Oryctolagus cuniculus: one gene and its partner. The protein of the gene in region 2 interacts with the protein of the main gene of each other region in a pairwise test. Links are inferred from orthologs where the notes say so. Each region holds a gene or a part of one and is shown on either strand. Other genes may lie near its edges.

Region 1 (4,692 bases), about 180 Mb from region 2:
CCTGCCACCCAGAGTTCCTGATTCCTGGCTTCAGCCTGGCTCAGCCCTGGCTGTTGCTGCCATACGGAGAATGAACGAGCAGATGAAAGATCTCTGTCTCTCCCTTTCAAAATAAATAAGCACATAAATATATATATATTAAACTGACTCATTTAGTAGCTAATATTTTGGGGGATTTATTATATTTCAGGCACTATGAAACAACCCAAATAAACAGGTACTACTATTCTTACTCTAGAAACTATTATCCACAGGAGCAAAAAGATGCCATCCAGTGTACTCCCCACCCCTCAACATCTCCCCACGTAACCTTCCTGACAGCTAATCAGACCCAGAGATTAGAAACTACCCATGAGGAAGAGGATCTACTCCATTGCCTTCTGTTCAGCTTCTTCCTCTGCTTGAGTTTCCTCCCTCCCAACAATTCAGGAAGGAGTCAGGCATATAGAGAACTCAGCGGGTCTATTTATTAGCGGGAGATGTCAGTGCTTTATCAAAGATGAAAAGATCAGAGAAGAACGGTGGGAGAAAGGCCTCAGCTGGGACATTTCTTGGCCACAATGAGGACAGCAGAAGGCACGAGTCCTGAAGATGAAAGAAAATAGGCTTGAACCACACACAAGGATACTTGTTTGCTCCCAAAATTTCCAGTTGCACCTACCACCCAGCATCTGCAGAGTCCCTTCTCTTCCCAGGCATGTCCTCCATTCCCCCACATCCTGGTTTGTGGTCCTGCATGACGTACCCAGCTCCTGCAGAGGCCGTTCCATGTCAGCCTCTGAGAAGGCCCGCCTGGGGAAGCCACTGAGCAACTGCACAGGGTCCTGGCCTCCTCCAGGTTCCTCCCCGCGGTGGAGCTCCACATAGAGTCTCACAGCTGCCAGCTGTTCCCGGGCCCGGAAGGTCTGGGTCAGTGAGGTCCCATCTGGCAGCCTGACCTAGAAGGCAAAGGAGGCAGCCTGAGGGAGGGAGCTGACATTGCAGAGCGGGGTTAAGCCCCGGCCTATGATGCCGGATTCCCATATGAGTCCTGGCTGCTCCATTTCTGGTCCAACTCCCTGCTAGTGTGTCTGGGAAAGCAGGGAAGATGACCAAAGTCATTGGGCCCCTGCCACCCATGTCGGAGACCTGCTTGGAGTTCCAGGCTCCTGACTTCGGCCTGGCCCAGCCCTGGCCATTGTGGCCATTTGGGGAGTGAACCAGCAGATGGAAGACTTCTAATTCTCCCTTTCAAATAAATAAAAATCTTTTTAAAAAATGCCCAAGGAAAAGAACAGCTAAAAAGCTACCCCCACTTCCTCTTAAAGAGACTAAACTAGCACAACTACTATTTAAAGCACCTAAAAAAACCACTTATGCTCTGCTTTACTGTTAAAAAGAGAGACTCCTCTCATACCAATCAGATGTCCATTTGTTATTGTGTTTGTTAACAACCTTTTATCTCTTAGTGTTATAAACTCCACTTAAAACTGATTAAAGTCTCATTCTTGTCAAAAAAAATAAAAATAAAAAAAGAGAGACTCCTGGATCCCTCAAAATCTAAGACAAGGACAGAAACATTTGGATAAATATCATGTCACAAAAATACCTGTGTAATAAACCAAATGAAACATGGACAAGTAAAAGGTGAACTGCTGAGTAAGAGGGAGGTATGGGTTTAAATAAGACTGGAGCAGGTGAAATTTGATCCTTTCCTAAGAGTAGAGGAGGTAGTATTTCAAAAGTCATTTACAAAGAAGGAAGAGACCTGGCAAAGGGAACAAGACTGAAAAAAGCTCTGAACGGGCACCCTAAAGCCCTGAAAAAGGGGTCCCAGGAAGAAGACGGGACTCAGAATCAGTACCTGGATGCGACACTGGTCGTACTCGCGCTTGCTGGGGGGCTCCTGGCTGGGAGAGGAGGGAACAGGACCTGGCTCTGTCGCTGGTGGGGTTGGCTGCGAACCCACGCTGCCACCATACTGAAGGACAAAATCGAACACTGTCAGGCAGGCACTCACCCTCAGGAGGAAGGGCTCACAAAAGGGCGGTTCACTAACCCGCCTACGGCACCACCCCCAGTGTCTCGCCAACACCGACCTTCTTGGCTCTCTCCGCTTTGTCTCTCTCAATCTTCTCACGAACCCTCTGTCTGGAATGCAGACAGGGAGGAAGGTCAGACACCAGCCAAGCAAACCGCGAGTCGCCCCCAGCCCCCAGCCCCCCGCCCCAGACCTGGCTGCCAACTCCTCGGCCTTCTCCCGCCTCCGCTCCTCCGCGGCGCGGCGCATCTCGCCCTCCTGCAGCCGCTGTCGGGCCGCTGACAGCTCCTGCCCCTGCCGCCGGCGCTGCCGCTCCCGTTCCAAGGCTTCCCGCTCCTCTCGTTCTTCCCGCTCGCGCTGCTTCTGGGCCACCAGCTCCATCATCCTGAGGGAAGAGGGCACGCCGGGGGAAGGTAGGTTTACAGCAAGGGGCCGAGGAACGCGTGTCCCGGGGCAGGTCAGGGAGGCGCGGAGAGAAACTCAACATGGTTCCCCACCAACCCACCTCTTCGTCTGTTCCTGCCTCTCCTCCTCACTCAGCGCGGGTTTGCCTTCGCCAGCAGCAGACCCAGGGCCTACAAACGAGCAACCCGTGTTATTCCGCGTGCAGGCTCTCCTCGGGTGCCCGCGGGTAATTACACCACGTCCCCCCAGTCGGGACCTGCGGCGCCACTTTGCTCCAAGGAGGTGGGTTCCCGTCCCAGAACATGTCCGAGCGGGGCCTGCAGAGGCTCGTCCACATCGGGGTCGTCTTCGTGCTCCATCAACCTGGCCGGGGGAGTCGGCAGGGAGCTCAGCGTCCAGGCTGCCGCTCCCGACAGCCCCCAACCCTCGGGCCCCTGGCCTGAGCGCTCACCAGTCCATCGCCGCTTCGATACCCTGGTTCCCTGTGAGGGCCAGAGCCTTCTCCCTGGAGGGAGAAACAGCGTGAGTAGCGCCTACGAGCCATAGTGACGGCCAGGCTCGGGGAAAGGCCGGGACCGGTCCGCGCGGATCGGGGCGAGGAGGCTCCCTTACGCGCGTCCCCTGGGGAAGCCCATCTCGATGAGGCTCTCCAGAGCCGTCAGCTCCGCCATGGCGCCGCCGCCGCCGCCGCTTCCGCGGGGACCTGGTGTGCCGACAGGGAGGCCGGGAACGGTCAGCGCAGGGCGACCCCGCCTCTGACGCCCCCGGCCGGGCGCTCCCTCACCCACCGGCTCCGGACCCGCCGGGACACCGACGATAAGAAAGCCGAGAGGGAAACGGAAGTGCACGAAACTGTTTGGGTCACGTGGGACGGACGTGGACGGGTGCCGCCAGGAGCCACAAAGCTCCCGGGTCCGGCTGCCTGGACCTCGCGCGGGCGGGGCCGGCAGCGGCGCAGAGTCCGCGGATCCGAGCCGACGCGTCGAGCCCTGGCGCCCCGCGGCGGTGGGCGGAGGCAAGCGGGCCCCCCAGCTTCGCACCCTTCACCCTCCTCGCAGATTACCAGGATCACGGCCCCTTAGCCGATCCCGTTGGAAAGTAGTTTGGCCGAGTGTATCAGGAGCCGTAGAAGTGTGCGCGCTCTTCAGCCCGCTCGTCTTCCCCCGGGGCAGGGAGCCATCCTCTGCCCTACCGCCGAAGGGCCTTTTGCGAAAACACAGTGTGTCTGATCCTGTCATCGCTTTTCTGCTTCGGACTTCTCCGTGTCGCGCAAAACTGAAACACCCGCGGCCTTCTGCCCCGCTGTCTGGTAAAGTGGAGACAGCACTCACACCTGCCCTAGACGGTGTGACTTCAGTGCTGGTAGTTAAACCCGCGCAGCTTCATCCCCAGCCACCTCAGGGTGACCTGCGCATATTGCAAAACAGGCCCTAGCCCTCCTCGCGGTCATTTTCCAGGATCCAGAGTCTGCTTCCTAACCCAAGCCTGCGTGCCCCCCCCCCCCCGAAGCTTCAGTGTCTGCCTCATTCGTTATTCACCCCTCCGCTGTGTGCTCACTGATAACCTAGTACCCCGTCACTGCCAAGGCTGTTAGATCCAGCGAGGTGAAGCACTTTGGTTTTTAGGGAGCAGGCACTTGGCCTAACTAAGTTCAAGTCCTGGCTCTGCTTCCATTCCAGTTTCCTGCTACTGCACACGCTGGTAGGCAGCAGGTGACGGCTCAGGTACATGTGCCAGTCATACATGAGACCCAGATGGAGTTCCCAGCTCCTGACTTCAGCTGGCCCAGCCATAGCAATTATGGGCATTTGGATGGGAACCAGCAGACGGGAGACCTCTGTCTGACTCTGTTTCTCAAATAAGTAAAATAAATGACAATTTTAAAAAATATTTAAAAAGTGAAATTTTCTTTTTCTTTTCTTTTTTTTTCTTTTTTTTTTTTTTTTTTTTTTGCAAGATTTTTTATTTACTTGAAAGGCAGAGCGATGGAGAAAGAGAGAGATGCAATGGGAAGTGACTCTAATGGGGCCAGCGAATTCACAGAGGGCCTGACTTTGTGTGCAGAGAGTTAAGCACTGTTGCTATCACGGATCAGAGCACCTGACTTGCTGGCCTCTGTGTTTCTGATCCAGTTCCCTGCTAATGCACCTGGGAAAGCAGCAGAAGAGCTAAAACATTAAATACAAGCCAGCACCACGGCTCACTAGGCTAATCCTCCGCTTTGCGGTGCCGGCACACCAGGTTCTAGTCCCGGTTGGCGTGCCAGA
Region 2 (4,692 bases):
GCTAAAAAGAGAAGTTCAATGAAAATTTTACTTTGAGAAAGGGAAATGGAAGCACAGTGGGAAGGGAATTGATTTCTTAACAAACCCCAGAACTGTTTGAAGGGGGACCCAAAATTCTAAATGTTTACGTAATCCAGATGTCACTTCAGCCTCAGGACATGCTCAGGAAAGATTCAAGGCATGATCTTAAATCTGAAAATATGATTCAAATATGGGTAGTTTTTAAAAGGCTAAGCAATATAAGGCAAAGTTGCTGGAGCCATACCTCAAAACTTAGAAGTTGTGACAGACTTGAGAAATCTGAAGACAGAAGGAGTCTGATACAAGGGCATGTTGGCTGTCTCAAGTCAGTGCACAACCCAAAAATTAATGTCTCTATTCTGAAGGGACTTCAGAGGGTCCAGAGAGACTTTCTGGGTTTTCAATGGGATTTTGTGAAAGACTTAGTCCACTCTAGAACAGAACTATTTCCATCTCCCTAGAACAAAACTCCCCCATCATTCTACTCTCTACACTTAATATGCTGAACCAGAACCATATCAATAATGTATACGAGCAAACAAACTTCATTTACTACTTAGCTCCAAATATTGTATGGTACTCTAATTTTATAAATATACTATGAAATAAAAATTGCCAGTATCTTGGCCTTGAAGACACTTTTTATAACAATAAATGGTGTGGCTGGGTCATTCTATTCATGATGGCTAAGAGATTAACACTCCGTGACTATGAGATCCTTTAACCTATGCAGTTACAAATAACAAATTAAGTAATTTTATCTGTCTTATCACTCATTTTCTAGCCTTGTGCCTGGCAAAATGCAAGCTCTTCATCAGTGTTAGTTGAATAAATCTATGAATAAGTTTTTTTAAAAGAACATGAGTTAAAAGACAAGAATTAGTTTTCAAATAGAAGATCATTTCAACTAAACGTTGCTTGAAAATGCAAGCACTCCAGCAACTTAAACTCTTGTCAACCTAACACAATTCTACAAAACATGTAAAAGTTTAATGGCAGGATAGATAAAATTACAACAGACAACCTTTAGATAGTCCTGACAATGTTAGAAGAGACCTGTAGAGGTCAACTCATCCAATACAAGGCTTGCTTTATAAAACCTAGTCTAGTCTAGCATACTGCAAATGCCTCCGAAAAGATCTACTTCCGTGCCCCTTCTCCACCAGCAGCTGACAGACACTTCTCAATGGGTAAATCACATCACGCTGCTCTCCACTGCTAAGTTCTTGAAGGCTCCCACCTGCAGACTCCATGATGTGGCTCTTGCCTGATCTCAGTTCACAGCTCATTCCCTCCTGCCACTTAGGGACTTGTCTTTTTCAAGCCAGGGCCTCTGCCTAGCTCTTTCAGTTCAACTCTATTCATTCTTCCTCCCCAAGGCTCCCAGCTTAATCTATGTGGTCAGTGCTTCAAATGTCAAAAGCACACATCTCTTCAGAGAGGCCCCCTCTTTTACACCTTCCTTCACCCCATTTATTTTCTTCATAATACAGGTGCCAGTTCTTAACTACTTATTTGCTTGGGTTTTAAGCCTTGTTCCTCAGCAGACTGCAAGACAGCTGTACAAACACAGCCAACTTGTCTTCATTTTCCTCTCCAAGATCCAAAATAAACAGGGGGCACTCTATAGTTAGCAATCGACTGATGGATGGCCACCCAAACCCTGAAACCTCCAGTGATGGCAGACTTGCCAAATAATAAAACCACTAACCTCAATTTTTCTTTTTCCGGAACAAAAAAAAAATCTCTGTTCTGGTTTTAAATTTCCTGCTAAAAACCAGCTAAAATCAGAGCCAAACCCTTGAACTTGGTCTGGACTGGAGGTTAACCTGGTTCTCGACCTTCTTCCCCTCCTGAACCCCTCTGATAAGTCTTTTTCAGGTTAGTACAAGCTCTGTCCTCAAGAAAACAGCACGTCCCCATATGGCAATAAAACTTTTGAGAAGTTTTCACCCCCTGCCCCCAAGACCCTCACAGACCCCCGACTAAGGAACTCTAAACTGGACAACAGGGATGGAGTCAATGCAATTTTTGAGAACTGACGTGTTCAAAACCTATCGGAAGGAAGACTACAGTACAACTTCTGGGGGAGAACGAGGACATGCCAGATGCTTTTGGACTTACTCACTTAGGAAGATGCACATGGAATTAGTAAACCTCTAAATCTAGAAGACACTTGGGAGATCATCGTCCGAAAACCGAAGCCCTCCCCCCCCACCACCACCAAAAAAATAAATAATAAGAGGCGCGTCCAAGGTCACTCATTTGATTGTGCTCAAGTTAGGACAAGAAAGCCGATCTCGGTCCCCCACCTGGGGTTCCTTCCACTTCAGTCTCGCTAGAATCTTAACGAGGAGTGCCCAGAGAGCCAGGGCTCAGAGGGTTGGGAAGGAGCGGGAAGCAGAGGAAAGACCAGCAAGAGAGGGAAAGAGCAGGCTACAGCAGGGAAGAGACACTCTTCCCACTCGCCGGGAAGCTTGCAACACAGACGGCCGACAGCCCCACTCGCAGCGCTCACCTGTCCGGGGCCCAAAGGCGGGTGGTGCGGTCTCGGGACACCGACACAAAGGCCCCCGGCGGATAGAGGCAGCACACCAGGCCCCGCACGTCCAGCTCATGACCCGGGAGCGAGCAGCTCAGCCGGTACCTGGCAGCGCCGCTAGCCATGGCCAGGGTCTTTCCGGCGCCCGGATCCCGGGCACCGCGCGAGATCAGTCCGCAGCGGAGACTCGGCGTGCTCCAAGCGGCGGCGGGAGACGAGCCTGCAGGTGAGGGGCGCCTGGGGACCGGAAGAGCCCAAGAGCCGGTGCGGAAGGGCGGCGGGGAAGGGGCGCGCCGAGCGGGCCGAGTGACACAGCAACCCACACTTGCACACCGGAATTCATCATCCGCCCCAGCCCGCCATGACGCAGAGCGTGTGCGTCCGGGCTGCCGAGGCCGGCGGGCAGCTAGGGTTCTGTCCCCTCTCGCGCTCGAGGCAGCCCTAAGACGAAGGGGTAAGGACGGCCGGCTGTTTTGACCCCGCCCTCGGGTCCTTTCCAAACTCTGACCCTTTCCTCGTCCCCGCCAAACTGTTTGTTGTAATTCTGCAAGCAGGCGGGGACTACGAGTCCCACAATGCCGCGCGCCAGTGGGGCGTGAGCAGCCAGTGCGCAGAATCTGGATTTTTCAAATCTGGGTCCGCGGAGCTGCGCGCTGTGGGGTCAACGGGGTGGAGTTGCTTGTTGACTTCTTTTGCGGCGTCCATACCAATTTTCCTCAAACCGCCTCTGCAGTCTACTGACATTTTAAACAAGCGGTTTTCCTCCCTCCCCACCCCCCATTAAAACTAGAGACCAGGAAATTGGGGCCGCTTAATAGTTTGCCTTGGTTTCAAATTACTAGTCTCTTTGCCCCCTACCATCAAAGTTAGCAAATAAGTAAGATAGTCCAGTTGTACTCTTTGAAAGTACGCCTACTTCCGGTAGTTTGTTGAAGTGCAGATTCTGATTCGGTAGGTCCGGCTGAGGCCGAACGTAGCTCATGCAGTTTTGACAAACCCCAGGTGATGCTGCTTGTCGTCATCCGTCTACAATGACTGCAAGGGTTTACAAGACCTGTTCTACTTCCAGCTGCTCCCCCCTTGCATCTAGTTCCACTTCACAACCCTTATAAATTAATTACAGTTTGCGCTTTTCTGACTTCTCCCTACTGGAAACGCCCACTTCAGGTTTGGAATCACCACTCCTCCTTTTCTTTCTCCAACAGCCCTGAATACCTCTCCCTGAGGAGACTATTTACCACTTTGCTTTTCTTCTAAAGCTCTATCCCTCAGAATGACATATCCAAATTTCAGATCTGTATTTCCAGCTGTTAGAAATCTTAACCTAGGGGCCGGCACTGTGGCGTAGTGGTAAAGCCTCCGCTTGCAGTGCCAGCATCCCATATCTGCACCGGTTCATGTCCCGGCTGCTCCTCTTCCCATACAGCTCTCTGCTGTGGCCTGGGAAAGCATTAGGAGATAGTCCAAGGCTTTGGGCCCCTGCACCCACCTAGGGGGACCAGGAGGAGGCTCCTAGCTCCTAGCTTTGGGTAGGCCCAATTCCAGCCCTTGCAGCCACTTGGGTAGTGAATCTGCCTGGAAAGACTTCTCTTTTTGCCTCTACCTCTCTGTAACTCTGCCTTTCAAATAAATAAATCACTTTTTTAAAGGATGACGCAAGGATAGGGTGGGTACTATCATTGTAACCTAGAATGTCACGTTCTTTACCTGTCAAATTTCAATACTGGTTTATCATGTGTATCCGTCTAGTTCCTCTCTGGAACCAATACAATTTTTTATTTTCAAATAAATAAATCTTATTTTTTTAAAGATTTTATTTATTTATTTGAAAGGCAGAACTAGAGAGAGGTATAGGCAGAGACAGAGAGAGAGAGACAGAGAGGTCTTTCATCCACGGTTCACTCACCAGATGGCCGCAACAGCCAGAACTGTGTCCATCCAAAGCCAGGAGCCAGAAGGCAGGAGCTTCTTCTGGGTCTCCCACGCGGGTACAGGGGCCCAAAGATTTGGGCCATCTTCTACTGCTTTTCTAGGCCATATCAGGGAGCTGGATCAGAAGTGGAGCAGCTGGGACTCGAACTAGCGCCAGTGGAGGATGGCCCAAATCCTTGGGCCCCTGCACCCATGTG

The links.
Region 1: the proteins of PLAA (region 2) and UBXN1 interact in binary tests that used the Homo sapiens proteins (3 or more experiments, as listed by UniProt). The two-hybrid records come from large-scale screens. The link is inferred for Oryctolagus cuniculus from reciprocal best matches to the Homo sapiens genes PLAA and UBXN1.

Annotation. Positions count from the first base shown.
Region 1 is NC_091432.1:8,888,385-8,893,076, reverse strand, and holds UBXN1 (UBX domain-containing protein 1), read right to left. Parts: upstream 3,304-4,692; 5' UTR 3,097-3,303; coding exon 3,038-3,096; intron 2,931-3,037; coding exon 2,877-2,930; intron 2,789-2,876; coding exon 2,682-2,788; intron 2,596-2,681; coding exon 2,526-2,595; intron 2,406-2,525; coding exon 2,214-2,405; intron 2,131-2,213; coding exon 2,079-2,130; intron 1,961-2,078; coding exon 1,844-1,960; intron 939-1,843; coding exon 746-938; intron 586-745; coding exon 536-585; 3' UTR 446-535; downstream 1-445.
Region 2 is NC_091432.1:190,206,253-190,210,944, forward strand, and holds the start of PLAA (phospholipase A-2-activating protein), read right to left. Parts: upstream 3,131-4,692; 5' UTR 2,689-3,130; coding exon 2,540-2,688; intron 1-2,539. UniProt on the Homo sapiens protein: Plays a role in protein ubiquitination, sorting and degradation through its association with VCP. Involved in ubiquitin-mediated membrane proteins trafficking to late endosomes in an ESCRT-dependent manner, and hence plays a role in synaptic vesicle recycling.